4 linked regions of the Drosophila melanogaster genome follow. The protein of the gene in region 3 interacts with the protein of the main gene of each other region in a pairwise test. Each region holds a gene or a part of one and is shown on either strand. Other genes may lie near its edges. The genes, in order: CG12209, Rdh, CG13494 and CG14234.

Region 1 (3,946 bases), about 12 Mb from region 3:
CGACTCGGATGCCACCGTTTGTTCGACAACCTCATCGATGGAGTCGCTTTAGTGATAGCCTTAAAAATTCCATATTAAGTTTTACTATACAATGAATCTAAGGACAGAAAAAGTACCTAATTATAGAATCTTTTTCTCTTTGTTTAAACCAAGAAGTAGTTGGTAATGATCCAACTATACATCTTATTTGTTTAGCTTACTCAATCTGAAGTTACACATTTTATTTGGATCCCATGACTTACGTTATTATTCAATATTATTTGACACCTCAGTTCATTGTATATATGTATGTGTGATTGGGAAAGAGGGGTAAATCATCGAACGCTGCTGTGCAATCAATCAATAATGCAATCAATCGTAATTCCAATCAATGTTGTGCCGTACGTTACTCTACAAAATATGCATGCCCATACCATAATACTATAAATTTCCTATTTTAAGCTAACAATCGGTCAAGACTCAAAACTCAAAAACTTACCGGCTTACATATGTATCTCCATGTCTAATCAATTTCAGTGTGATTAAAGTTTCAAAGTTCTAGTTACAACACAAGTAATATATCTGTTTTATTATGGACAAAATATGCTATTCTAAGCCCATTTTTGGATTCTTTGTTGTATAAGTCACAGCATTTTTCGCGTTTTCAGGATACCAAATATGTCTCCTTAATACCTTTGGGTATTAATTGGCACTAATTACAAGTCGACTAAGTACCAAGCCATCCTGCAATTTGATGCCCTCGATCATTACTCCTGGAGAAAAGTAGTCTCTTCGCCTCTAGATGAATACATTGCCCCCTTTGGAGGGTTATGATGCATTTCCACCTGGGGAATTCTCACTGCCCACTGCCGACGGTCCATCCTCGCTGTCCTCGTCATTGTCTTCCACGACGTCATCCCCATTAATCGGTGTCGTCTGAACCCAACTGCCCTCTAACGGAGATCCCGTGGTTTTCGCGGCATTCGAAGCGAACCGGTAGATAATCTGTGCATAGAAGGTGAGCAGGAAGATGATGATGAAGTCGTGGAAGAGGATGAGCGAGGCCAACAGGTGATCGTTCAGCCGCATCTCGGCAAAGCGTCCACCATTGATCGTCTGGGCATGGTACATCACGAACTAAGGAAATTATATATTATCATACTAATGGCTCGATAAGTAAAACGTTCAATTTTTACCAAGAGCACAATAAGGCTTATGAAGATCTGGAATACCACAAAGGAGTACGGCATATCGATCAGAATGTGCATCATGACAAAGAATACGGTGATGATCAGGAAAATAAATGCCATTACAAACAATATTACAACGTCCAATGTAAGATCGTGCTGGGAATACAAATTCAAGCAAAAATATTGCAAATATGCAAACACCCTTACTGGTATAATGGATCCCAGCAGCACAAACATGAAGACAAACAGCACACAGATGATAAACCACATTATCAAGTCCTGCCAGAGAGTTCTTGCCACCAGAGCGAACATACCAATTATTATAAACTCCACCTAGCCAAGGAATTCAAGGTGAAAGATCATGCGGAATGTGTTCGCAGGATACTCACTATAAGCACGGTGATCAGCCAGTTGAGGCCAATGATGAATCGGACCTTCTCGAAGAATATGAACACCGTGACCATCACCATGGCCAGCGCGAAGAAGATCACGCTAATCCAGTAAAAGTTTGTGAAGGTCATACTTATGTCCGATCTGAAAGAACAGCGGTTACAGCGGTAAAGAACCCCAAACTCAGCTGCCCAACTCACATCAGGCTGACCAGGAGCCATTGCAAGATAGCCAGGACCATCCAGGCTATGGTCACCATGTAGACGACGCAGGCAAACTTTCGGCGGGCCCGCCGATATGCCCGCATTCTCTGGCGGCGGTCCTCCATGGCGGTGTGGGCGTGGCCCGGGTATCGTGTTGGAGTATGGAATTCAGTAACAAACGATAACTAATTTCAAACCTAATGGAGAAGTCCAGGCCACTCTGATATGTGAAGCTGGGTGGCCAGCAACCACTGCGATGAAAGATACCCACTACACCAAGATATTTAATTCTATTAGTAAACTCTATTAGTTCACTAAATATACTCTGCGCACTCAGAAGAAAGAAGCATGTATAGTGAAAATACGAGCATACGATTCAATTATTTTCAGTTTTACATTTTAAAAGCAAGCACGCAATTCTATGGTCACCTATATGCTCACCTTTTTCAATGATTATAGTGACTTGATTTCAAAAACTAGTTCAAAAAATGTATGTTTTATCATAGATATCTAGGGTTTTGTAGGAATACTTTCAATGAATATAAAATCATTCATTGCAAAATGTAAAATGGGAGTTAGGCAGTTACACAACATACAGAATTCGCAAAATTTTTGTATGGCCGTACTTTGCTGGTCATTTACGTGCCGCAAATGAGTTTTCACACCTCAAAACCAACCGGAAGGTAACGATTAACGGACCAATCCAACCTACCGCGATCCCGCTGGCGGACAGAACAGTTGGCATTTATTTTTCTGATAGTTTGATGTTTTTCTCATAAATTTAGATGTGAATCGAAACAAGCCACTCCAAATACAGTTTCAGAACTAGAGCGTCTGTACATATGTTGCGCGAAAACCCCCCACCGCGCCAAAAGAGTTGGGTGGGACCCACGTACAGAGTAACCATAATTATGCTCGTCATCGGACAGATTCAGGTCTCGGTGGCGATGGAGATGTGAGTAGTGATCCATGCTCTTGCCCTGCGGCTTTTGACAGACCTTTCAATTGCTCCTCTTTTTCAGCACTCCCCTGAAGGAATTTCTCGCAGATCGCTACTACCTCAGTCTCGTGCAATTTGTCGTCAGCTTCCTATCCATCCAGCTCTACGGATTTTTCTACCACATAATCGTTAAAAAGCCTATGTGGGTGCGGTTATTGGCGGGCCTCTGGACGGTAAGTACATGAATGATCTCAACTGATGGTGTCCATTTCGAATGACCTCTTTTGATCTGCAGTACGAGGTGAACACCATGTCGATCATGAAGCCCGCCAAACGTGCCCCTTATATAAGCCTCATCCTGTCAATCTTCCTAACATTCCTTATGATGATCATCAGTGTGATATACGGAAATAGTGCCATCAAACACAAGAAAGGCCTTTTCGTAAGTGAAGAACTTGTTGACCCGCCGACACTTACCTCCTTTACCACAGACTACCCGGCATAAGGTTATCCTGTGGAGCGAGCGCATATTTGTCCTCACCTGCTTTGGCATCATCGTGTGTGCCGAGATGAAGCGTGTTATCATAGAGTTTCCAACCCTGCTAGTATACACCATTCTCTCGAGCGTGGTAAGCCTCAGGGAAACGAAACGATACACCTACTTTCCCATTTTTAAAATAACGACACAGTATTCCTCCAATTTTGCCCACAGTTTGTCATAGTCTTTGGCGCTTCCATGCGAAAGCCGAACTTCTACCGCCAGGAGTCGACCGGGGACTACATACTGATCGGCCAGCTGTACTACCTCAACTTTTTTGCCCTATATATGGGCTATGTGTGGACGACAGCCTCGTTTATAGAATTGATGGGATGGCGCGCGGACATTCATGATATATTCGTGTACCTGTTCTATCGGAAGAACATCGAATGAGTGGAACGCATGCGTGGACTATCGGAACAGCTGGGACAGAATGTTTATGCGAGACGATTCAGTTCCTGCGGCAATTGGTCAGTGCCTCGATGTCGATGGGGCAAGTTTGTCTGGGTGCCCGCGACTGCTGTCGTCTTGTTTCGATTCGGTTTGCCGGAAAATCGATAACTGTTTCCATGGCACGCGCATCTTAAGCAAAAACGCTGAATGTAAATAAATGGCTCTGTCCGCGAAACGTTTCCATAAAACTTCGGTGGACTTGATGGGTCCGGTTAAAGTGTAGGTGGCATGATGTATTTTCAATTGGATGATA
Region 2 (5,197 bases), on a different chromosome or scaffold from region 3:
AAAAAAGGTTGAACCAAAAATCTCTGACGCTGTTGTTTTCACTCGATTTGCATTGGTTTTGTGCGACTTAGAATAGTTTACAATTAGTTAAGTTTGTTTATAAGATGCAAGGCTTAGTATTTTTTGTAGATAAATAGTTATTGTATTGGATTTTCGTGGCAAAAAACTTTGCGAAGGGAGGAAAAATAAAACACTAGTTTAAGGTATTTTGTTTTGTTATTGTGGTAATTGAGTTTTAAAACGATTTGGTTGTTTGTTTGTTGTTTTCTTTAGAACGTTGTTTATCACATTTACACCATATCACCGAAAATCAGAAGCTGCCCACACTTTTTGGTCTGTACACTTGCTCGATTTTCCCAATTATTTTGTTTAAAATTTAATTCGTTTACGCACTAAACACTTAGGTTGCTATTTCTATAATTAATTTATATATGTATGTATATTGTATAGTTAAAAATATTTTAGTTAAAGCTTTCTTTCTTTCGGTTTGTTTGTGATTATTTCTCTCGCTGATTTTTCCTTTTCCTCGGTTTTGTTACTTGTTTCTTTGTTTGTTTATGTTTATTGAGATATTTCCATCTGGTTGTCTATATAGTTTGGATTCTTTGAGGATTTCTCTGACATCCTGTTGTTTCCTGTGGCACACATTTTACCATCTGCAAAGTTGGAGGAAGTTTAATCGAAGGCTTTTCCCCAAAAGAGAAAAACGCGCACGCGAGAGAGAGAGAGAGAGAGAGTCGGAAGCCGAGAGAATGAATCCCTTTGGCAAAACTGTGTATCCGTGTATCACACACTCGTAGACAATATGACCTTGTTTACGATTTATTTTGATATTCAAACTGCACGAACCGAAAGCCGAGAAAATTTCATGATGCGAATATTGCCCTCGGCACGATTAGAAGGGTGGATATTCGCCTGCTCTCTGTATCTTCAGGGCACCTCAGCTCCTGGCGAATATCCTTATAAGGACGACACCACTCGCACACACACCCGTAACAAGCGACTGGTTCCCTTTCAACGTAATTATCTTGAGTTTTTGATTGTCACAATTTATGGAGTAGGTAGCCAATTTCGTTCACTTTTTGTGCCTACTAGAGGGGTTGAGCTGAACTCCCAAAAATTGTTTCAAATTTTGATGTTTATCTGTCCGAGTTGAATGGACTTTGCATAAATAACTGAGGCAAGTCGGTGTTTGCATCGGCAAGTAATGAAATCTTGAATAAGGGGGCTACTATTCTTTGCGTTTATATAATTAAAAATTGCTGTGTGAAGTTAAGGGCAACGGAAAGTTCCCAAAAAGTTGTACAATAGCTAAAGGATTTTTGCATTCTCTGTTGAATATAGAAAGTAATCAGAAATCTGTGTAGGAATATTTAAAAATGAATTAGTTACGATAAGTATGATGAAATTTTAAAAAGACTTTGCTTCGATTTTCCCAAAGCGTTTAAGCCTTTAAAAATTATGACAAAGAATCATTTTCCTTTCGTTTGTTTTCTACCAATACTCATATAAAATGCAATATAAATGCAAAAAGAATAGAATAGAATAGATGAATGAAGGTTTTGGGCCAAAAACACCTGGCCAAATGCGAAATGCCATGACAGTCGCAGTGAATCTTTTATTCTGGGAAATACCCGCGAAAAATGCGAAAAGCGAGTGGAAGCAAGAAGCGAGAAACGAGATTTGGAGAATCGCACGAGAGAAAAGCGAAAAAGTGGGCAGGTGACAGATGACGTAGCCGCCTTAAAAAGAAACACGCATACGACGTGTGGCACACGACCAAAACGAAGGTGACGACGTCTTCGTCTTCGTTTTTCCACCGCTTTTCCTTGCCAATTCTAACGGCTTTCGATGGAAACGAGGCGAAGGCAAAGCCAACGACAAAGTTCGCCAACCAAATTTGGGACAAGAGTCGCAAAATTGCATTCGGGTGAGGAGTCTGATTCAGAATCCGGAGAAGGGGGTGTGGAATTATGGGTTGCATGTGGCGTGGTATTACGACTTGGCCTTCCTGCTGTTTTGCTGTTTACAGCTGCTCACTCACTCACTACACACGCCCTCTCTTTCTTCGCCTATCGGTGTGTCCTTTGGACCTCCAGCCGCTCAAAGCGACAAACAAAAAGCTTCCCCGTAGTGACGAGTACTAGGAAATGTGTTGCGGTCGTCTAGTCTTCGGAGAATAAGCTCCAAAGCGCGTGCGTGGGAGAACCCAAAAGGGAAGAAGAGCCTTAAAAGTAGTACACTGAGGAAAATATAAGGAAATGTTCCCAATATAACTGCTTTAGTTATTAAACTATTACCAAGATTTTAAAGTATTTTGTATCCTACATTTGTAAGTATTTAAAACCTCTTATATTATTATTATTACTCAAATTAATTTATAAGTAAATTCTAACCACAATTTTCTTTGAGTGCATACCCAGAGAGAGCATGGCGTGCCTGCACTTTAGAAGCTCGAGCAGGAAGTTGGCTGCAATGCACTCGCAAAGGCAGTGGAAGGGAAATGGAAAATGAAACAGCAAAAAAACCCCAAAAGAGGGAGGAAGAAGCAAAAGATGAGGGCTAAATGGGGCGTCCATTTCCACCAAAGAGCCAAATAACGATTATAATTTGTTGACAAGTCGATGAAATGTTCCAAGCATGCAGTTTTCCACCTCTCGCGCGGAAAACTCTTACTAATTTGTATGTTGAAACGTCACCGAATGTCGAAAATACACAAACTAAAATGCTGTTAAAGAAAAATACGAAATGAAAAACGAACCCGAGAAAAAGACCCGAACTCTCGTATGAGTGTGTGTGTGTGTGTGGGAAAAACGTGTGCGACTGTGTATGTATAATACACCAAAAAGGCCACCGAAAAAAATTGTCTTTTAAGCAAATGAAAATTCCTCGCGACTCGAAAACATTTTTCTCGTTTTCGCACACATTTCTTTGCACTTTTCATTTTATTTATATATTTTTAAACACTCTGCCCGGCAAAGGGGCTTCCTTTTCAGCTTTACATATCCATTTACCACTCGGTGTCTGCAATTTCACTCTAAAACCGATATTTTTATTTTTTTCAACGCGCGTGCCATTTGTGTTTTCCTTCTTTTTTGTATATTCCACCAGCAACTCTTGTATTGAGAAGCGAAAACCGAAGAACAGAGCCCCACAACCGCAAAAACCCCATCGACCATTGTTCTCTCTCCATCTCATTCTCTCGGCTTTTATGCCCCTCTCACTCGCTCTTTTTGTTATTTTTGTATTTTTTCTTGAAAAACTAATTTTCTCGGGCACTAATTTTTTCTTGCCTCCGTTTGCTTCATTGTGAAAAATGTATTTTTAAGCTGCTGCTGCTGCTGCGGCTCTGCTTCTCCTATAGATGTTGCTGCTGCTAGTTGCTAGTTGCTGCTGCTGCTGCTGCCTGATGTTGCTGCTGCTGCTGCTGCTGCTGCTTTTGCTGCTGCGTTTGCTGGTACGGATGACAATGACAACTTTGGCAACGGCTGCGACAGAAGCGACGACCGCTGGCGGACATTATGGGAACACGGCCGAATGGATACTGGGCCAATTCGCTGGCGGAAGGTCTCTTTTCCTCTGGTTTTCTCTCTAGAATCTCTCGGCTGAAAATCTCCTCATTCGTGCTTGTGCTTTTCCCCCAGAAGGGTGGCAAAAAAAATCAAGCGAGTCTTTCGCTCTCTTTTGCTCTCGCTTTGGTCACGCAAAAAGAGAGCGCTGCGAGTGCGTAAAAGCTTCGCGGAAAACAGGTTAAAGCGTATGGGTCTCCCCCTCCCTTTCCCACATCCTAGCCCCCTCTCTCACTCTCTAGATATCCTCCCTACCATATAGTTCGCCCGATGTCCCATGGCCCAGAGGCAAAATGCTTATTGGGGTGGCATTTGCTCGAGACTCTCCACTCTGCACTCACTCGAAGAAATTATCAATTAATTTGAAGAAAAAATTAAATAATTGGCGCCCAACTTTTAGAGCCTACATTTGGGAGTATTTTTAAACTCTTAAATATATTAAAAGCTTTTGCGCATAATTTTTTGATTGCTTAATCCGTTAATGAGTGGAAACAAGAATCAATATAAACAATATATATTACTCTTAATAATTTCATATTGTTTGCGGCATTATTTTTGTCAGTGTTCTCATCTACTCCTTCTAGTTGCTGCTGCTCCTGGTGGCTATTGTTGTTGCTTTTATTGTCCTTCGTGGTGCGTTTGTGTGCGTGCGCTGCGTAGCGAGTGCAGTTGTTGTTCTGGTTACTGGGCATCTCATCCTTTGTGTTTTTCTGCGTTTTCTGCCTATATATCCCTATATCCCTGCTTGGTTCTGTGGCTTCACTTCCTAGCAGGCCACAAAAGGACCTTGGACATGTGAGCATAAGTGCGTGAGAGGGAAGGGGAGAGAGTCCTGCAGAAGGAGAGTCCTGCCAAACAGGAATGTTATGGGGCAAAAAAAGTAAAACAAAAACTTCACCAAAGTCGATGAAAAACAAAACATGCCATACCTGGAAATCGAATTCAATTTTAATTGAATGTAAATATTAAAAGAGATTTTTCATCACAGCAATCTAAATCTCGGTTTCAAACACTTTTAATCAAATTGCCTGTGTGAAAGCCAGCAGATAAGCGAATGCAAATAGTTTTAATGAAGAGGGAAAATATTCGACTATTGCATATCCTTTTAAAGCTGTAAGAACAAACCGAAATACATTGTCTATTTTCGTTAAATATAGTTTTCTAGCTTAATTTTCTGGAACATTTCCAGCAAAGTAAACCACTTTTAAACCACTTAAAACTTATCCCATAAATCATCATATACTCTATATCCCACAAAAAAACTTTTTCCAATTCAATTACCCTCGCAAATCACTGGCAAATTGACCAAAAAAGTGTCCATCAATTGAAGCTCTTCCGTCTCTTTCTACTGCCCTTTTCCCATCTCTTTTCCGCTTGCATATCTGTCAATTTATAGCCTGAAATTGCATTTGATTCCTGACGGGATATGCCAGTTATTTTATTTGCCTCTGAGTCTCCTCCCTTTCCTCATGATGAATGCATTCATCGTTTGAGTGGGCAATAAAAAAGCTTTTAGAACCTCGTTCCTTAGAGGAGCAAAAACATGGGGGTAAATAGGAGCGATAAGCAGACGAAAGGACATTTTTTTTTCATTGTCGCTGCCAATAATGTTAAGCCAGGAATAATCT
Region 3 (3,001 bases):
TCGTCGCCTCGGCGTCTACAGCGAAAACAGAGAAAGGACTTCATACAACCAAAAAGGACGAGAACACCCATACAAGCACAGCAGGCAGCAATGATAAGAAAAATTACGACGAATATGAACAAAAGTCCCCAAGCACCTAGGTTAGTATCCGGGTGTCCAGTGGTTGTACGGTACGCCACAGTTGTCATGTTAAAGTCTATATATTCAATATCGTATTCAGATAGGGTTGTAGCATCCAACTCGGCCATAGCTTATGGGAAATAAATTGCAAATTTTGTTGCTTTCGATAATAGATTGAACCCTCTAAATGGAAGGAAATATGTATAAGGAAAATCACATTAAATTAACGAATGCTTCTCACCGTTCCTTGCATAGCAGCTTAAGAATTTCGATGACCCTGACCCTTCAGAAATTTTATTTTGGGTATAGATTTTTTTTTAATTTTAAGAGTACAGTCGCAGCTTACTGAAGTCGATATTTTTTTGTACTTTAAATTTGATTTTTGGTTGCCATATATTAAGTTAATAGATATCATTTCAAAATTAAGCTAGATTTTTTTATTTTTTATGAATAGACAACAATTTTGCCAATGAGCATACGGATGCTCCTAACGAATCTGTACCTGAGCACATTAAATTTATAGGCTTTCGAATCGCATATCCTAGCACTACGTACATATTAATAGAAACTTGAATTATCGCCGAATTAATCATCGTCCAAGGTGCAGTCCCCACAGCCGTCGCCACAATCGCCACACCCGCCGCCATCGCCGCAACATCCACCGCCGTCATCGCCGCAACATCCACCGCCGCCGCCTTCACCACAACATCCTTCGTCGCAAGCGAGGCACGCGGAGCAGGCGAGTCCGCAACAGCCGCACAGGCAGAGGAGCGGCAGGCAGATGATGAGCAGGCAGCAGAGGAGCACCATAACAACGATCAGGACAATAATACCGACAGCCATGCTACCCGCCTTGGCGGCCTCTGTAGTGGTGGTGGTGGCGATCGTGGTGCTCCATGAGGATGTTTCCGTCATCCCGCCTTCTACCGTTGATAATGTGTCATCCATGATTAATCACTTGTTGACGGTATTGAAATGTTTAACGTTTAGCTTATTGTAAATTAGAATAAATTACAAAAATTCAGACAGCAAAGTTGAGTGTGTATTCAAAGACTCCTTCAGCACAATTTTCATATGTGCCCACTTTCAATTTAGCATCATATTTGGTTTTAAATATATTCAAGTTCCCCATCTACGAAAGACAAAAGCAAAGAAGCTTATGGGCATAGGTGCATTCGTCACGCTTCCACACGAAGCGACTTCTAACGATCAATCGCACTTAAAATCCTTTCCACAAAAGTACTCATTAAACCCACGAACACACCACCCGTCATACAATGCCCATTCGAATTGTATAATAATTAATGAAATGCATTAACGAAAGCATTTTGCGGGTGGAACTGGGATTGGGTTGGCAGAGAGGGGTGGTCCTCGAACGGGGATCTGGGGAGCTGTCCCTGAGCTCCTGTGTGTACCTGCGCTCGTTAGCGCTCCAAACACCCACTCTGCGAAACACCCCCACTTTAACTCATATGCAAAAAACACACCCTCGCCTCACGCCATCATTATCATAATTTGAATGTGATGCGAGCTTTAAAATATTCATGCGAGTAGAAAGATTTTTTTCAAGTGTGCGCACGTGTGCGCCTGGGTTCGTTATAGGGAGCTGTTTACTGTACCAAGAGGTCGTTGATTATAATGACTGTATTTTGTGCGCTGATTACTCCACAGAGAAAATTAAGAAAATGAGTCAACAACTTAATGCAAAAAACAAAAGGAAGCTCTTCGATAAACAGCGAAATGAATATATATTTTTTCAGATATCTATCTGTTTCGTGCATAATAAATATAAACTGCGTTGGACTTCAACCATAATTAAACACTGAACATTGTGTTAAGTAACTAAAGGTTGATCAAACAACTCCTGATAATATACTCACCGGGAAAGTAAAAATCCACTTCTCGTTCTGAATCACAAATCAGTGATTGCAATTGGGAACTATTAGACACGTTTGTCGGCCAATTGGCGGTGGCAGCATTGAAAGCTCATTCAATTCACTGCCTCACACTGACACCCACACTCAGACATGCATTCACCCACACCTGCAAACTCACTCACACACACACACACATACACACCTTTAACATATAGCATCATGGCACACGTGGCTGCATGTCAAAGTGCAAAGTTTTGTGCCACAAAAAACAAGCTGCGAGGGGTGGCAATGTGGGTAATGGCAGTCAAAAGCGCCGCTTGTCGATGTTTTCTGAAAAAAGAAGGAATGAAATCGTAGGGGAAAGCAGAAAAAAGTTACGTTTTTCACGGCGTTGTTGCTGGCAACCCTTTTAGCTCTGGCAATTTAAACTCGCCCGCTCCAAAGTTGCCCACTTGCCATATCCTGTCGCAGGCGTTGTCCTTGTTGTTGCTGCGGTTGGTGCCTCCGTGTAGTTGCCGCATCCCTCGAACGGCTGAGGATCCTCAGGGGGTTAAGAGCTTTTGGCTGCGGGCTGAGGGGTAACTGCGTGGCATGCAATGCGCGATTGCACAAAGTCAACTTGCACATTAGAATTCGACGAAGGATGAGTTGCAGGGCAACGCGTTGAAAGGCGGAAGGACTAGGCTCATCTGTCTGCGATTCCATCTCGGGGTAAAACTGAATACTAAACAGGCGTCTTCACTACACTAAATATATTTTCAGAAACTATTTAAATCTAAGAAATGGATTTATAGCAAGTTAAGGCTATCTTTCCACTTGAATAGATGCGAATGTAAAGAAAATCATCTTCCGGCAAATATGACTTCCTAGTCGAAAAGTCCCAAATGGTCAGATATCCGTCCCCAATGAAAATCGTACGCAGCTGAATTTATGTGTATTCCCAACCAATCATCATCATCATCAGGAACAAACGCAATGGCAATGATCATGTTCGTATCCTGCCA
Region 4 (7,125 bases), on a different chromosome or scaffold from region 3:
ACTTCCAGAAGGTCTACAAGTCGATGTGCCCCAACGCCTGGGTGGAGAAGTGGGACGACCAGCGCGAGAGCGGCACATTCCCCGGCCGCATCTAAGCTGCGCCAGAGACGCAGCAACACAGTAAACCCAGCAATCCAGCACCCAAACACACAGGACACGATCGATGGACGGACGGAGGTAGAGGAGCGTGGTAACCAGAATCCGGCAATTGCAACAGAGACTAGTTTGTGTTTGTGCTTTCCCCAGCGGTGAATGCAGACCATCATCGGCAAATACAAAAAAAAAAATACACAAATGTTCAATTACTTGAATTCTGAACCGATCGTTTGTGTTTGTTTCTTCTTGATCCTTGATCCTTGATCCTTGATTCTTGGTCCTGCCGTTGCTGGCCGAACTGGCATCCGAATCAGATCGACGCCACGCCACTGTATTCCGATGTGTTATTATTAATAAACAATTAGACACAAAGAGTCCGGTGTTTCGTCATTTGATCCACTTGTTGTGAGTGGATGAGAGGTTCTGTAACTTAAAGAAGAAAAACGCACATGTGGCCTGCATCGTTTATTTAATATTACTTTTCTGTTTGCTCATTACAAGTTGTTTAATCTTTGGCAGCCCGTCGTCTCAAGACTTGATTTCATTCGGAAATCGGATTCTTTCTGGTTATAATCGCTTTTGGCCTTTTTGTTATATTAGTTTTTAATTGGATTTCATTAGTGGTGTATACATGTGTGCAACTCTTTTTATGATTTTCACTACTTTAGTTTGCAGTTATTATCCTTTTTTTTTATATATATATTTTATTAAACCGAATTGAGTGTGTCGTACAAAACGTCTACTGTTTGCCGAAGTTAAATGCATTATCGTGCTGCATTAGACATTGCTGTTGAACATTAGAACGACAGGAGGATAGAGTGAACAACTAATAGGAATCAAAGTATAAGCACTTGAGTTTGAGAACAAAATTCGGAAATATAAAGTCTATAGTCTTCGATAGTAATAAATCAACAATTGCGGACGGCAGCCATTCCTAGAAACTAATTGCTAATCAACTTAACAGGAAACTCGAGTTGTATTTAGTATAGGTGTTTGCGACTTGGAAACCAACCGATTCGACATGGAAGTTCCTGCCCGGCAATGTCCAATCCTTCTTTGCGGCTTGGAGAAAGAACCCTTCCAGTTCTAGTTCTTCCCCTAAACGCATCACTTTATCTATTTATTGGTTGTAGGTGTGTCCAGCTAAAAGGGCTTAATCCGTACTGTGGATTGAGAAATACGTCCGTACTTTGAAATGAAATGTAATGTTGCTTGGAAACAAAAGCGGATGGAAGACGACCACAAGACTTCTGAAAACCAGATGCACGGACTCATTTCGCTCTAGTAACCCGATTAAGCCCCATAATCAGACCGTTTAAAATGCTTTATATCACTTAAATTGGTATGTCTCGGCTAGCATATATAGCGTGAATTTCTGAAGTTTGTACCGCTGTTTGCATGGATCTAATGTCTTAAAGTATATATATATATATATATATATATATATTTCGAACGCTAATCTTACGGATAACGCTAAGACGGCTGATCGAGCGGATCGTTGGATTCTGACTTGGTCGAGCCCCAAGTGCGCCCCTTGCAGCGGATTGTGATTTACTGGTATCGACAATTAAGTGGCTTAGTGGCTTTGGCTCATCCGGGTAACTGGCTAATCCTAGTTCTAGTCTACTACTAGTCTAGATGGCTATGGCTCCAACTTCCCCCTCCCCCTCCCCACCCTCTCTTATTGTACTTAATAGGTATTGTATTGTATTTTCGCCTGCCTTGAGCCTCCGAGAAACTGCTGTGCGATGATCGAGTGTTTGGAGTTTACAACGTAATGCTTATATATATAAATATCATGCTAGATAGTTGAAATGGAACTCCTGCAGCTGGGATGCATCCCATTATAATCGTAGAGTTATAACACAGATATGAACCGGATTAGTAATTGCAATTGCCTGGCTATATACGAAAAAGGGAGAAGCTACGAGTACTGCGTTGGGTATAGTGTAGTTACAGGAATCTCAGGCACCCATGATCCACCACCACAATCATGCATCACGCAGCCCATCGCTACATACATATGTAGTGTAGGTATTCCTATCTGTAGTAACATTCGATTAAGTGAAGAGAACAAAAGCTTCCTGCCAGCTTCCTTCCGTGCTGTCCATCATCTTAGACTCTAGCTGTGCACGATGCGATTAATCTTAGTCTAGACTATCTCGTCCCCCTGATCTGTGGCTGGCGCCAGCTCCAAGGCTTCCATGCGAAACCAGCTAAAGATCCGTCGTATATCCTCTGATATTTAAAGCTTCCAATGACCATCCACTCGGTTCTGTGCCACCATTTCCGCTTCCGTTTGTGTTGTGTCCGGCACTTGGTGCCTCGTCTTAAAAAGTCTACATGCAACCGTACTTGTGTGAGTCCTCCGCCGCTCTACGTGGCGGCTCCCTAGAGCCCCCAATCCCGTTTAACTATCCAACCATACAGTTGTGTCCCCCGACCATGACCACATCCGCGCCCAAGTACCGCAGCCCGTAGCCCCCCTACGGGTATAGTTACATGTAGCTATTGCTTGTTTGTTATCCAATGTCACGGACGATCTCGATCTTGTCGCACAGCTCCGAGTCCGGATCGTGGATGGTGGTGAAGTGCGTGCGGTCGCTCCGGAACGTGTTTCGTTCGTTTGAGCTGCTCTTTATCGATCTCTCCGACGGCGTCTCCGTGCCGCTCAGCTGGATGCGCTTCTGCAGAGCCGACACGAAGTTCTGCAAACAAGAGATGCCCACAGGATCAGCTTGGTCTGCTACGACGCAGTAGTCACGCGCTAAGGTGCCTAGGTATGCATACATCATATACTGTTGCATACTTTTGGACACCTTTACTCGCATTTCCGGGTCCATATGAGAGCAAACCACTCACCTGCGATATGATGTCACCACGGGCCGTGCGCACCTGGTACAGATAGCGGAACTTGCGCTGCCTGGCCTCCTCGCGCGTCTCCCGGGTGCGGGATTGGGATCGCCGGACGGGAGCGATGCCGTGGTTGGGTCCCGCCTGCTGCTGGCTGTGCGGCAGATGGGCGCCGTGCGCGTGGCCAGGATGGTTGTGATGCCGCATGTACACCCGCTTGCGGTGATCCACGCGCCAGGCGGTAATGAAGCACTGCACCATGATGCTGAGCACAATGGTGACGGGCCAGGCGGCGATCAGGAGGCCACCGTAGCAAGGTGGCGGCGAGGGATGCGGCCGCATGCCGATTATCTGCAGAGAGTTATATAATTCCATCAATGCTTTCTCCACCCTCCGTATCAACTAAACAGACAGCTTCACATCGAACCAGCCAATGGTGGACATGTGGAGCAGACATGACTCACCCAATTGATGGTCTCCAGACCGTGCGTGAAGAAGTCGATGGCGCTGAGGATCATGGCCGTGCCCACAATGCTGGAGGTGAGAATGGTCACGTACTTCACGCAGCACAAGGTCAGCACGGAGCAGATGACGGCTCCACCCACCACGGCCACATAGATCTCGCGGTACTGCGGTAGGGGAATCGATATAAGCATCTGGTGCAAGCAAAACAAAGAGGGGAGGAACTTACCCCAAACTCGTTGTCCGGAAAGGTGGCCACGCAGACGGCCATGGCTGCGCCGGAGAGCAGGGCGCCGGCAAAGGCGCTAATGAGGACAGAGGCCACCGGATATGTGGAGCCGAGCACCGCGCCCAGCAAACCCGCCACAATGGCCAGCGCCGAGTCCGCCGGCTTGCCCAGGAAGGTGATCTGGAAGTCCTGCAGAATGAAGATCCCGTTGGCGCCCACCAGCAGTCCACTGAGAAAGCCCACGGCGCGCAGGCATCGGTAGCCGAGTAGCGCGTACACGATGCCAAACACGGCGAAGATGGCCCACAGGATGGCGGCCAGCGGCTCCGGCGCAGTGGGCGTGCACGTCTGCCCCTCCAGGATGCCCTGCGGGAGGAGGTCACTGGTTATCGGGGGCGTGTCACCGTAATGCGACCAAGGACACGACACACTTATCAAGCAAGGGCCGTGCGCTGACGCCACTACTCGCCCAGCACACCACCCTGCTCACTTCTGGTCACTGGCCAGAGCAGTGAGCAGTAACTCACTTCAACCTACTTCAGGTGGCTTCAAATTGGCCATTTTGCAGCCACTTAGCCAACGCATTGCACGGTGGCAGGCATAACCACTTGGCTCACATAAAAACACGGGATATATCTCCTATAACTAGTATTAAATCGGTTGGAATCAGCGGGACTGATTAACTTAAAGCCTATAAGTTCTGTAATATTTCATATTGAATATTATCCAATGAAATCGCTATAGAATTAATTAAAAGGGGAAAAGGAATCGTTATAATCCTTAAAGAACTTGACGAAAAGAACTCTCTCCTAAAAAAACCCTATTTGACTAAATTTACATTAGAATATCAATTAAGGATTATAGTTGAAGTAGTAGTAGTAGTTCATAGTAGTTCTATATCAAGCATAGTTTAGAAAGTATAAACATAGAAACATAAGCAATGAGCAACCTATAAAATAATACGAAATATGATCTAAGGATGTACACATATTGTATTTAAAGGGACTACGGATTGTTTACAGCTGGCGGAGTTTTACCCTCCCCAGATCCGATTACAAGGTGGAATAAGCCTTCGGGAGCCTGACAGGGATGCACATGAAGCTCTACATACATTCGCGTCCTCGCAGTGACAAAGCTGTTGACACACAAACCCCACTTATACACATTATACTCGACACTTTGCATATTGTAGTCTCGACTTAACCTAAAAAGCGTGCAAATATGTCGAGGGTTTGGGAAGAGGGGTTGATGGACAAGGGCGGTTGCGAGGGGCTGCTGATACGAACCTTGATGAGAAAGGGCCAGTCCAGGTGGGTGGTGCTCATGGAGTCCTCGCTGCCGTAGTCATACACCATGTCCGCCGCCACCCTCATTCCGGCGGACTAATTTTTGGCGGACCCTTCTCAACGGAATCTGCGATCTGGTGTACTCGATGCTCTTGGTCTTGTCCTTGTTGTTCTGGTTCTTGTTCTTCTACACAGCACTGGCGGATTGTCCTCTTCGTGGCGTTGTTTCGTGTTGGTTGCTCTTCACTGGCACAAAAGGACTCCGCATTCCTGCACCGTTCGCAGGGGCATGGTTGGTTACACCTATGCCTGTACACCTATACTACCACCTGGCTGGATTGACTGCGAAATAGGGCGTAGCACCTGGATGTCCTTTTGCAGCGAGTGTCAAGCGATCCTGCGGCCAATTTACTGCGGGTACATTGCAGTATTTGCACACATTTTCGCACTGCGACGTGCGATACGGATTCGTTACAATCGGGGCCAAGCCAGAATAGCTTGTGGTACAACAGGAAAACAGTGGAGCAGGCAAACAGTCAGTGTGTCCTGTGGCCACGACAGGGATGGCTACACGTCCACGTCCTCGATGGGCAAGCCTGTCCTCTCTTGCGCTCTCGTTGGTCGCACAGGCATCCAAACAACCCCCGAAGGGTTCGCGCGAAAGCTTCGAAAGCTCAGGCGCCGAAGCTCGACGCCACCACCCATCCTTCGCATCCCTGACCAGGTATACCACATTCCGCTTATACCCTTAACTGGTCCACTGCTGTCTTGATGAGCCCATTACAACCATTGCTAAGTGGGTGCCTCAGTTAGTACCAATTGCTGCAATCTTTCCACTGACCAGCATGATCAGTTGGGAATCCATTATATATATATATATATGTATATCCTTTGCATACAACATGGTTATCCCTGTAAACATGGAAGCAAAGCTTTGGGATATGGTTTGACTCCTCGGTAGCTTCGATAGCTTTGGGTGTCTGTACAAATCGCTACAGAATGCTCCACTTACATACGTGGGCCAATGTGGGCGTGGCCATAGTTTGACGCAAAGTTGATCTGCGCGGGAAAAGCGCTTTGCAACTCCTATCTGATGGATTCTATATTTGCAGCAGGAAAACCTCTTTCTCCTTAACGAATTTTCAAGTAAATATGATATTTCAAATCTAACTTTTGAGTTTCAAGCCTAGTTTTGGATTTTAATGATCCTAAATATTGATCAATATATTGACTTTTAACCTAACTGATGCAATTATTTTCTCAGATCTTCGACTTAGAAAACTTACTTTGATGCACTTTGACTTTGAGCTGAAAGTATAAAAATCTTTCAGGCTTACGAACGGACAAATATTATAATACACAGTTTTAATTATAATACTAAAATCATAAATCATAATCATGCGTATTTGGAACCTTGTAGAAATGACCATTGAAAGCGAATAGAAACTGTGCTTAGTGCAACTGCCGTCGAGGAAAACAATGTCACAATTATTTAGTGTTTCGCATTTTACTAGGACACAAACATATACATAGATGCCGACCATAGGACATATGGGGTTACAGAGTTTTGGAATGCGGTTATGCAACGTTGCTATTACACGTTAGTACACTGAGTGACAAGCAGCTCCGATTAACAATTAACAGATCTCTCGACGAACCCGATTGGATTTTATATGTGTGCATATGCATAAATAATATATGTAGGTGGCGATTCGGCCAATACACAATATAATAATAATACGTAAATTTACAACTTATTGTTGAGCTAATCTTCAACACACGCAAATCGATAGCTCCAATTGCTTTGTGCTTATCCTATGCCATCGGATGTGCGCCATGGAACGCTTATGGAGAACGGATGATGGCCTCGTAGGCGGCGAAGATTATGTTGGCCACCTCCACGGAGCGCGATTTGAGGCTGAGAGTGGCTTCCGGATTGCCCGGCTGCAGCTTTAGCTCCAGCAGCACCCAAATGTTGTTGGTCAGCTTGAGTGACTGGTAGAGCATGTCCTGGCCCTCGACGTTACGCTTGGCGATGGTGAAGATGTTGTTGGTGGTCATCTTGGAGGCGATGCCGTCGGTAGTGCCAATTACACCGCTCAGGGTGTACTGCAGTTCGTTGGCGGCGGGGATCTCCTTCCAGGTGTTGAGGAACACGCGCTTGTCCAACTGCCCATCCTCGGCGAACAGCACGTTGCC

Evidence for each region.
Region 1: the proteins of CG13494 (region 3) and CG12209 interact in a two-hybrid assay, tested with the Drosophila melanogaster proteins (one large-scale study listed by BioGRID).
Region 2: the proteins of CG13494 (region 3) and Rdh interact in a two-hybrid assay, tested with the Drosophila melanogaster proteins (one large-scale study listed by BioGRID).
Region 4: the proteins of CG13494 (region 3) and CG14234 interact in a two-hybrid assay, tested with the Drosophila melanogaster proteins (one large-scale study listed by BioGRID).

The regions. Positions count from the first base shown.
Region 1 is NT_033778.4:10,245,528-10,249,473, forward strand, and holds CG12209 (uncharacterized protein), read right to left. Parts: upstream 2,034-3,946; 5' UTR 1,888-2,033; coding exon 1,760-1,887; intron 1,704-1,759; coding exon 1,559-1,703; intron 1,503-1,558; coding exon 1,377-1,502; intron 1,326-1,376; coding exon 1,176-1,325; intron 1,117-1,175; coding exon 808-1,116; 3' UTR 544-807; downstream 1-543. Other genes in the region: Hdc (histidine decarboxylase), read left to right, coding at 1-52; CG12914 (uncharacterized protein), read left to right, coding at 2,605-2,717, 2,785-2,935, 2,998-3,144, 3,194-3,331, 3,415-3,633.
Region 2 is NT_037436.4:3,823,847-3,829,043, reverse strand, and holds Rdh (Red herring), read right to left. Parts: upstream 3,596-5,197; 5' UTR 3,521-3,595; coding exon 3,377-3,520; 3' UTR 3,294-3,376; intron 657-3,293; 3' UTR 519-656; downstream 1-518.
Region 3 is NT_033778.4:21,953,705-21,956,705, forward strand, and holds CG13494 (uncharacterized protein), read right to left. Parts: upstream 1,142-3,001; 5' UTR 1,069-1,141; coding exon 706-1,068; 3' UTR 538-705; downstream 1-537. Other genes in the region: CG43405 (uncharacterized protein), read right to left, coding at 1-248.
Region 4 is NC_004354.4:19,733,877-19,741,001, reverse strand, and holds CG14234 (uncharacterized protein), read right to left. Parts: upstream 5,433-7,125; 5' UTR 5,014-5,432; coding exon 4,927-5,013; intron 4,007-4,926; coding exon 3,641-4,006; intron 3,579-3,640; coding exon 3,414-3,578; intron 3,301-3,413; coding exon 2,959-3,300; intron 2,805-2,958; coding exon 2,619-2,804; coding exon of another isoform or gene 2,583-2,618; 3' UTR 546-2,582; downstream 1-545. Other genes in the region: COX6B (cytochrome c oxidase subunit 6B), read left to right, coding at 1-95; AP-1-2beta (adaptor protein complex 1/2, beta subunit), read right to left, coding at 6,772-7,125.